Canis lupus familiaris: one gene and its partner. Each later gene encodes a partner of the first gene's protein in a complex. Links are inferred from orthologs where the notes say so. Each region holds a gene or a part of one and is shown on either strand. Other genes may lie near its edges. The genes, in order: BUD13 and CWC27.

Evidence for each region.
Region 2: BUD13 (region 1) and CWC27 share a complex: the UniProt entries of both Homo sapiens proteins name them as parts of the activated spliceosome. The link is inferred for Canis lupus familiaris from reciprocal best matches to the Homo sapiens genes BUD13 and CWC27.

What each region holds. Positions count from the first base shown.
Region 1 is NC_049226.1:16,817,100-16,821,425, forward strand, and holds the start of BUD13 (BUD13 homolog), read left to right. Parts: upstream 1-1,446; 5' UTR 1,447-1,489; coding exon 1,490-1,632; intron 1,633-3,926; coding exon 3,927-4,020; intron 4,021-4,326. UniProt on the Homo sapiens protein: Involved in pre-mRNA splicing as component of the activated spliceosome. As a component of the minor spliceosome, involved in the splicing of U12-type introns in pre-mRNAs.
Region 2 is NC_049223.1:49,881,883-49,886,116, forward strand, and holds the start of CWC27 (spliceosome-associated protein CWC27 homolog), read left to right. Parts: upstream 1-1,346; 5' UTR 1,347-1,455; coding exon of another isoform or gene 1,456-1,536; 5' UTR 1,537-1,572; coding exon 1,573-1,614; intron 1,615-4,234. Other genes in the region: protein SREK1IP1, read right to left, coding at 912-1,134, 1,456-1,536. UniProt on the Homo sapiens protein: As part of the spliceosome, plays a role in pre-mRNA splicing. Probable inactive PPIase with no peptidyl-prolyl cis-trans isomerase activity. As a component of the minor spliceosome, involved in the splicing of U12-type introns in pre-mRNAs.

The DNA of each region.
Region 1 (4,326 bases):
ATGGGGCTGAGAAGGTACTGGTAATGTTCAATGGAATGGAAAGATAAGTCTTCAAATGCCTGCTGACCACAAAGTAGTAGAGGCAGGGCTTTGAAAGTTCAGTTTGAGGTCCACCAAAGTGGATTAGAAGCCAACACAGGGTTGTGTCTGGGGGACCCATGGGGACCTCCAGCCAGTGAAGCCCTCTATCAATCTGGTATCCCCACAAGCCCTCAGAGACCCAGTCTGCTTTCCTTCCTGGGCCTCAGCTGGACCAGTCAGGACAACACTGTGGTTAAAAGTTCATCCATCAGGGCTGGGACTTCCACACCTATATTATATATAATTTTTTTTTTGAGCATGTATCCTGGATTCTGAGCAGAGCATTTATAAAGTATAACAAGCAAGCCTTCTTGACTAATAGGCTTTCAAACAGTGACAAAAATTTAACATGTTGAGATAAGGGAAATACTTGATCTAACATTTTCACAAACTTTGGATTTACCTCTTGTACCTCACTTGGCTAGCTTCTGCTCCCAAGGGTCACATTTTGGCTGTATAAAGTTGGACAACTTCCTTAACCTCTCCAAGCTTTGGTTTTTCTCATCTGTGAAACAAGCATAATAAAACCACTTGAGAGATTTGTTAAATGAGGTAATTTATGTAAAATAATGTTCACAAGAAGAAAAGGAGTATGTCCCCTCCCCCCGGCCCCTCCCAACTTGATAATTAGAATTCAGCTTCTCTATCTGGCTGAAAATAGAGCCAGGTCCTTTTCACAGGAAAGATTGCAGGCAACAGATAGTTGGGGGCTACGTATTCTATCAAAAGTGGGGAAGGTCACAGGTTAGAGAAACCTCCATATTTTTTCATGGTAATCACGTTTGGAATTCCTGACCTCTCTTGAATGGTTCGTGGAAGACTATTTAGAGCAGTCTAACCTCCACCTAACATACTAATACAAACAACATACATACTGTGCTTCAGACACTGTGCTAAGCATCTCACGCAGTAAAAGTGTCTCATTTCTCGAAGCCATTTAGTTAGGTGCCATTATACTCCCCAGTTCGTTAATTAAGTTGCCCCCGGACCTACAGTTGGAAGTTTCGGAGCCCGAACTCCAGCTTAGGGACACCGTCCCTCCAGAGCCCGAGGTCTTGACGACGCTATGGTGCTTCTGGAGCTGCTGGGGACAGAGATCTTGTTTGGGTCGTGGTTTTAGCCTCCCGCCAGCTGCATCGTAGGTTGAAGGGGCAGACAGGTGGACAAACCCCTGCCGGTCGGGCCGGCAGGGGCAGGGGCAGGGGGAGGGGGAGGTGGAGGTGCAATCGGAGGCGCGCGCACCTGCGGAGAGCCAGCAAGCGCAGCCGGGGGTCAGCCCGGGGCGGGTCCCACAGCTCTCCACCACTTCCGGCCCCGGCCCCGCCCCCCCGGGGGCCCCCCGCCGTGCGCTTCGCGTTCAGGAAATTTGTCCCCAGCGCCGAGCCGTCTCCCCGCCCCCGCCGCTGCCATGGCGGCAGCTCCGCCGCTCTCCAAGGCCGAGTATCTGAAGCGTTACTTGTCTGGGGCAGGTGCCGGCGTCGACGGGGGCCCGGACTCCGGTCGCAAGCGTCGCAAAAAGCGGCCGAAGCCTGGCGGGGCCGGCGGCAGGGGGTGAGTGGGTGCTGGCGGGGCGGGGCGGGGCCTGCGGCGGCCGGCCGCCCCTCTGCTCCCCGGCTCCGCGCTCGGCCGGCGCGCCCCGCGGCCGTGCGCTCGCCGCCTCCGGCCGCCGGTAACTTTCTCAGGCTGTTCCCGCCCCGGTGGCTTTCCGGCCTCTCCCGTGGAGAGTGAGTGTCGCGCCGAGAGGAACGGCGGGGTCGCCCGGAGCCTGTGATGGCACGGCCGGGGGCTCGGCGGAGTCGGGCGCCGCGCGCACCTGGGGCCGAGTCCTGCGCGGGCGGGCGCCGACCGAGGCTCCAGGATTCCGCGGCGGAGCGGGGCCGCCGTGCCGCTCTCCCGGCGGGTCCGCGCAGGACCCCAGGACGTGACTTCCTTCGGAAGTAGTGCCGCCGCGGGTGTAGCTAATCAAGATGCGGTCACAGCACATCAGGACGGGCGCCAAATCCAGCGTGCCCGGGGACCCCTTAGGAAGGGGGGGATTTGGACGCAGAGATGGGGAAAGCCCGCCGTGTGAAGATGGAGGCCGGCCTTGGGCTGGGTTTACGCTGCCACTAGTAGCCAGAGTATGCGAGTACGCCTGCCGCTGCCAGCAGTTGGAACAGCCAAGGAATCCCCCCGCCCCCAGCCTTCCCAGTGGGCACTGCCTTGCAGACACCTTGATTTCAGACTTCAAGCCCCCAGGACCCTGAGAGAGTACAGTTCTGTTGCCTTAAGCCGCCTGGTTGGCGGCACTTTGTCAGGCAGCCCTGGGGAACCAATACGCCCAGCTCCAGAGACCAAATCCACTTCCTTTTTTTTTTTTTTTTTTTAATTTTTATTTATTTATGATAGTCACACACAGAGAGAGAGAGAGAGAGAGAGGCAGAGACACAGGCAGAGGGAGAAGCAGGCTCCATACACCGGGAGCCCAACGTGGGATTCGATCCCAGGTCTCCAGGATCGCGCCCTGGGCCAAAGGCGGGCGCCAAACCGCTGCGCCACCCAGGGATCCCCCAAATCCACTTCCTTTCGTGGGTTGCTTCTTGCCTGTTCTTGCCCTCTGTCTTCCTGCCTTCCGACTTGTGTCGATTGTTTGGACACAGACAGTGCCATGTAGAGAAAATAGCTTGCTTGACCTCTGGAGTAATACCAGTCAGAGTTTGAGTCCTGGCTGTGCCACGTTGTGGGCTCTACGGCCTTGGGCAACATACTGTCTCTCCAAGACTGTTACCGCAGCTTCCTTTCTTTATTTTTTAAAAGATTGATTATTTATTTATTTATTCACAAGAGACACAGAGAGAGGCAGAAACCCAGGCAGAGGGAGAAGCAGGCTCCATGCAGGGAGCCTGACGTGGGACTTGATCCCTGGACCCTGGAATCAGGCCCTAAGCTGAAGGCAGATGCTCAACCGCTGAGCCACCCAGGCGTCCCTATTTTTTTTTTTTTTTTAAGATTTTATTTATTTATTCATGAGAGACACAGAGAGGTAGAGAAAGAAGCAGAGAGAAGCAGGCTCCATGCAGGGAGCCTGATGTGGGACTCGATCCCAGCACTCCAGAATCATGGCCTGGGCGGAAGGGAGACACTCAACCACTAAGCCACCCAGGTGTCCCGGTTACTGCCTCTTTAAAAGGAGAGTAATACTATCGCTCTATGGTTGTGATTAGAGAGGTATAAAGTGATAACTGGCTGTTCAGATAGAATTGTTCACATCATGGTAGTCATTGTTAATTACTTGGACTCATGCATAGTTTATCTGTGTAACAAACATGTATTGAACACCTACTTCTTATGCCAGTTACTTCAGGGTGTTCAGGATATCACAGTGAATGAGAAGGCATAGTCCCTATTCTAGTGGGCCTTATAGTTTAACAGGGATCCTGGCTTTAAACAGCTAATTACACAACTAACTGATTTATTTTCTTTGTGATTAATGCAATGAAAGTATTCCAAGGATGCATAACAGAGGTTCTTAGTCATGGGAAGTAAGGGGAGAAGCTCAAGGAAGTTAAATGTATCCTAGGACTCTTAAGAGTTTCCCATTAAAGAAAGAAGAGTAGGCCAGGCCGAAGGAAGGAACTGAATATGTGAAAACTGATGTGGTAAGGTATTGGCTCATTCCAGGCACCAAAAGATGATTAGCAAGGTAGGGAACTGTGGAGGCAGTGGTACAGGTGAAGTTGGCCGTATAGGCAAAGACTGGACCTTGCAGAGTCTTGTAGCTTATACTAAATCCATAGATAACTGTTTGTGGGCTGTCACCCAAGAATGATTCTTCCCTTTTTGATCTTTTTATTTTTCATATTTAGAATGCGGATTGTGGATGATGATGTGAGCTGGACATCTATCTCTACCACTAAACCAGAAAAAGAGGAAGAAGATGATGATGGAGATTTGCCTGTGGTGTGTATCTTTTGAGGTTGTGAGGACTTTGAAATGCAAGACTCTCAATCTTGATTCTTAGTACAGGGTGGATTTATAAGGGGGAATGTTAGGGCCCAAAAGAGGTGACACTTTTCAAAGAGCTGTTTTATTTAATTAATTAATTTTTAAAAAAGATTTTATTTATTCATGAGAGACACAGAGAGAGAGGCAGAGAGATAGGCAGAGAGAGAAGCAGGCTCTCTCTGAGGAGCCTGATGGACTCAGGAGCCTGATACAGAACTTGATCTCAGGACCCCAGGATCATGATCTGAGCAGAAGGCATAT
Region 2 (4,234 bases), on another chromosome or scaffold:
TGTCTCTCATGGACACATGCAGTCTTTTCAAAAAGAGACAGGAAGAGGCTGCCACAGTGCAAACTCGGCTCAATAATACCGCGAAGGGCAGGTTGAAACAAAGGGAGGGCGGGCTTCTGAACCGCAGCACCTGAGTCGCTCCTACACTAAAGTGCATCGTGAAGTCTCCAAGCTGTGCGGGGTGCGGGTTGGGATATAATTCTGCAACTAACTCCTGCAACCAGGGTTCCTCGGAAGACAGGGAGCAAACCTGGTTTAAGGAGACGCCCTCCCGACGCTCGTCCTTGCAGACGGGAGAGCTCCGGGGCGCTTACTTGGTAGGTAGGGCTCCCTTACGGTGAACCCCCCCGCCCCCCGCCCCCACCCACAGAACCGAGAGCTTGGAAGGGACCCACAGGCGTCAAGGAGCGAGGCTGCTTTTGCAGATGCACGAAAAGCGGCGGGTGCAGGGCCACCCGGGAGCTCGGGGCACCAGGGAGCCCCGGGGGCCGGGCCTGCGGCTGCCGCTGCACCAATGCCTCCGGCTGCTCGGCTCCGTCGAGGGGCGCCGCCGGGATCCGGTCTTCAAGCCACGGCCGAGGTAAGCCAGCTGCCCCGGACCCCTGCACCCCCGCCCGCCGCCCGGCCTACGGTTACAGCCCCCCCCCCCCCCCCCCCCCGCCCTCCATCCAGCGCAGCTGGAGCTCCGCGGCGCTGCAGGGACGCCGTTTCCGCCGCCCCTCCTTCCCTTCGCTGATTGTTTTTGGAGGAGAAACTTTTTCCTGCAGACCAGACGAACCTGTTCAGGCTACGCCCCCCCCCGCCCCGCCCCGCCCCGCCCGGCGCTCCCCCGCGACCCGAGCGCACCCCAACCTCCCCTGGCCCCGCTGCCTTCCTCGCCGCGACCTCGGGGCCCCGGCGCCGGGCTTCACCTGGGACGGCCATAGCGCTGGAAGACGGCAAGGAGGCGGGGGGAGGCGTCGCAGGAGCCCTGGGCTTCCGAGAGGACCCGCCGCCCGCCTGCAGCGAGGCCCGCAAACGGCGAGGGCGGCCTCTTCCTCCCGCCGGCGCCGCGGGACCGCCGTGACAGTCCGGGAAGGCCGCTGGCGACAGCGGAACCCAAGTCCCGTCGAAGCCGTTTCCGCGGGGGGAGGCCTATTGCAGAGCACACACGGTCCGAACCATTGCCGCCCGCTCCCGGGGGGGGAGCGGAGGGGAGGAGTGAATAAGACCCGAGCCCGTTTACTGAGGTTAAACACCAAGGCTTAGAGATTGCTTTTTTTCAAAAGGAGTACCACAGATTCAATTAATGTGTCGGTTCTTAGCGGTCTTTTCTCTCCCCCCCCCGAGGCTATTGGAATCCCCCCTCCTCGGGATTAGCGGTGCTCAGGTCCAGAAGCGACATGGCGGCGCCCGTGAGGGACTAGTTTGGGGGGTAAAGGTAGTGGCTGGTGTGGCCGTCTTGGGGGCACTGACGCCCTGGAGCGCTCCGCGACCCCCCGAGAGAGGGAGCTGCGCTGGTAGGGGCGGCGGGAGGGGTCGGCCCTCCGGCCTCATTCGCAACCCGGAGCGGAGCCCCGCGGACCGGGCGGCATGAGCAACATCTACATCCAGGAGCCTCCCACCAACGGGAAGGTGAGGGCCTCGCCTGGGGCCGCGGGCTCCTCCGGGACCGCTCGGCCGCCGGGCGTCCCGTCCTCCGCGTCCCCGGGCGCGGCCTCCCACACCGTCTGCGCGCTCCGCCCCGCGGGTACGCGCCAGTCCTCGAGGCCACGTTCCCGCACCTCCCGGCCCGCGGCCCCACTTCTTGCTTCAGCCTGGCTCAGGCAGGGGGGTCCTCTAGGGCCCAGGGGGAAACAAAGTACTCTGAAAACCGGCTTGTTTGTTTATATTTATATTTATATTTACTTGTTTATATTTTTATTTGTTTTATTTGTATTTTACTTATATTTTTATTAATTTATACTTTGTTTATATTTTTATATTTTTATATTTGTTTCTATTTATTTATTTCTATATTTATATTTATGTTTATTTATATCTATATGTTTTATTTTTATATTTTTATTTTTATTTTTAACATTTATTTATTTTATTTATTTTTAACATTTATTTTTAATTTTTTATTTTGATTTATTTATTTTTAATTTTTATTGATTTAGGTTTTACTAATTTTTAATTTTTATCGATTTTTAATTTTAATTTTATTTTTTATTTTTGCGTTTTTTATTTTTATTTTTAGTTTTTAATTTTTATTTCCTATACTTATTTTCTATTTTTATAATTTTAAATTTTTTATTAATTTTTTATTTTTATTAATTTTTTATTTTAATTTTTATTCATTCATTTTATTTTCTAATTTTTATTTTTATTTTTACTTATTTTTAATTTTTATTCTATTTTTATTTTTGATTTTTAACTTTTGATTTTTTTATTTATTTTCTATTTTTTTGTTTTTTAATTTTTATTTATTTTCTGTATTTTTCTATTTTTATTTATAATTTTTGGTTTTTTATTTTTTGATTTTTATTTATTTTTAATTTTTATTCGTTTTTTATTTTTTAATTTTAATTTTTTTTACTTATTTTTAATTTTTATTTTTCTATTTTTATTTTTTATTTTTAAATTTTTATTTTTATTTATTTTTATTTTTTATTTTCTATTTTCATTTTTGGCTTTTAGATTTTTACTTATTTTTTATATTTATTTACTATGTTTATTTTTTATATTAGTTTAGCTATCTATTTATTTATTTTTGGTGTACTTGGGAACTACTCTTTCTCTATTCCTTCTACAACCTTTTATTGAACGCCTGGTGGTAGCCTTGGGCCCTGTACTAGGTTCTAGGGCTGCAGTGAAGGATGAAGGTGGTAGTGGTCGCCCTGGAGGAGCTCAGGGTTTTGTTTGAGAGGCAGGCATGTAAAGAAAAAGCTTTGTGATGCATCTGGTAGGCGCTTGTGGTGAGAGGAGGCTAGTGGTATGGGAGCACTAAAGAGGGAGCAACTGCGGGAGGCGGGAAAGTTTCATGGATGAGGGATTTTTTTAGAGCTGGCCTTAAAACACGAGATGACTGTCAGAGAAAGCAGAGAATGGGAAATGTGCCCACATTAGAATGGGAGCGTGATTTCCTGACTTTTTTTTTTTTTTTAAGATTTTATTTATTCATGAGAGACCCAGAGAGAGAGGCAGAGACACAGGCAGAGGGAGAAACCGGCTTCATGCAGGGAGCCAGACGTGGGACTCGATCCTAGGACCCTGGGGTTCCTGACCTGAGCCGAAGGCAGATGCTCAACCGCTGAGCCACCCAGGTGTCCCTGCAATTAAAACTTCACTTAAATATATGTACATATATATGAACATTCAGGATAACAAATATTTTCCTGTTCTCCCTTAGAAGAAAAACAAACTGACTTTTTAAAAAGAATTGATGAGAATCCAGAGAAATACTTCATTTATTTTTTTTTTAAAGATTTTATTTATTTATTCATGAGAGACACACAGAGAGAGGCAGAGACTCAGGCAGAGGGAGAAGCAGGCTCCTTGCAGGCAGCCCAATGCAGGACTCGATCCCGGGACTCCAGGATCACGCCCTGGGCCAAAGGTAGATGCTCAACCGCTGAGCCACCCAGATGTCCCCTGATATCTTGATTGATTTAATGGCCATGGTATGTCAATTCCCATGGAAGATTTTTATATGCAGTGTGAGTCAGAGGAGTCGGTCATGGAATCAGTATCACCTGAATTCTTAAACTGAGGGCTAGTCTGTATCACGTAGGCAACACCATGAAGCAGCATACTGGAGAAAATAGTGGAGCTGAAAGTACGTAGTTGAGGAAGGATAGACTAAATTCACATCAGATACAATTCTGTCGCATGATTGCATCATAGTTCATGCAATTTTCTGTTGGTCGACATTTTGTAATATAGGGAAGGCATTTTGAAAACAAAACCAATAATGTCATTGATAGACCCAGCACAAACTTCACTGGGTATTTTGAGCAATTCTTCTAATTCTTTGTTGTCTAAACTTCGCCTGCCTCCTCACCCCTACCTCGCATCATTGTGAAAACTCAGAACACCTCCTTCATATTTCTAAGTGTTCTTTTTTTTTTTTTTTTTAAGATTTTATTTATTTACTCATGAGAGACATAGAGAGGCAGAGACACAGGCAGAGGGAGAAGCAGGCTCCATGCAGGGAGCCTGAGGTGGGACTCGATCCCAGGTCTCCAGGATCACACCCCGGGCTGAAGGCGAC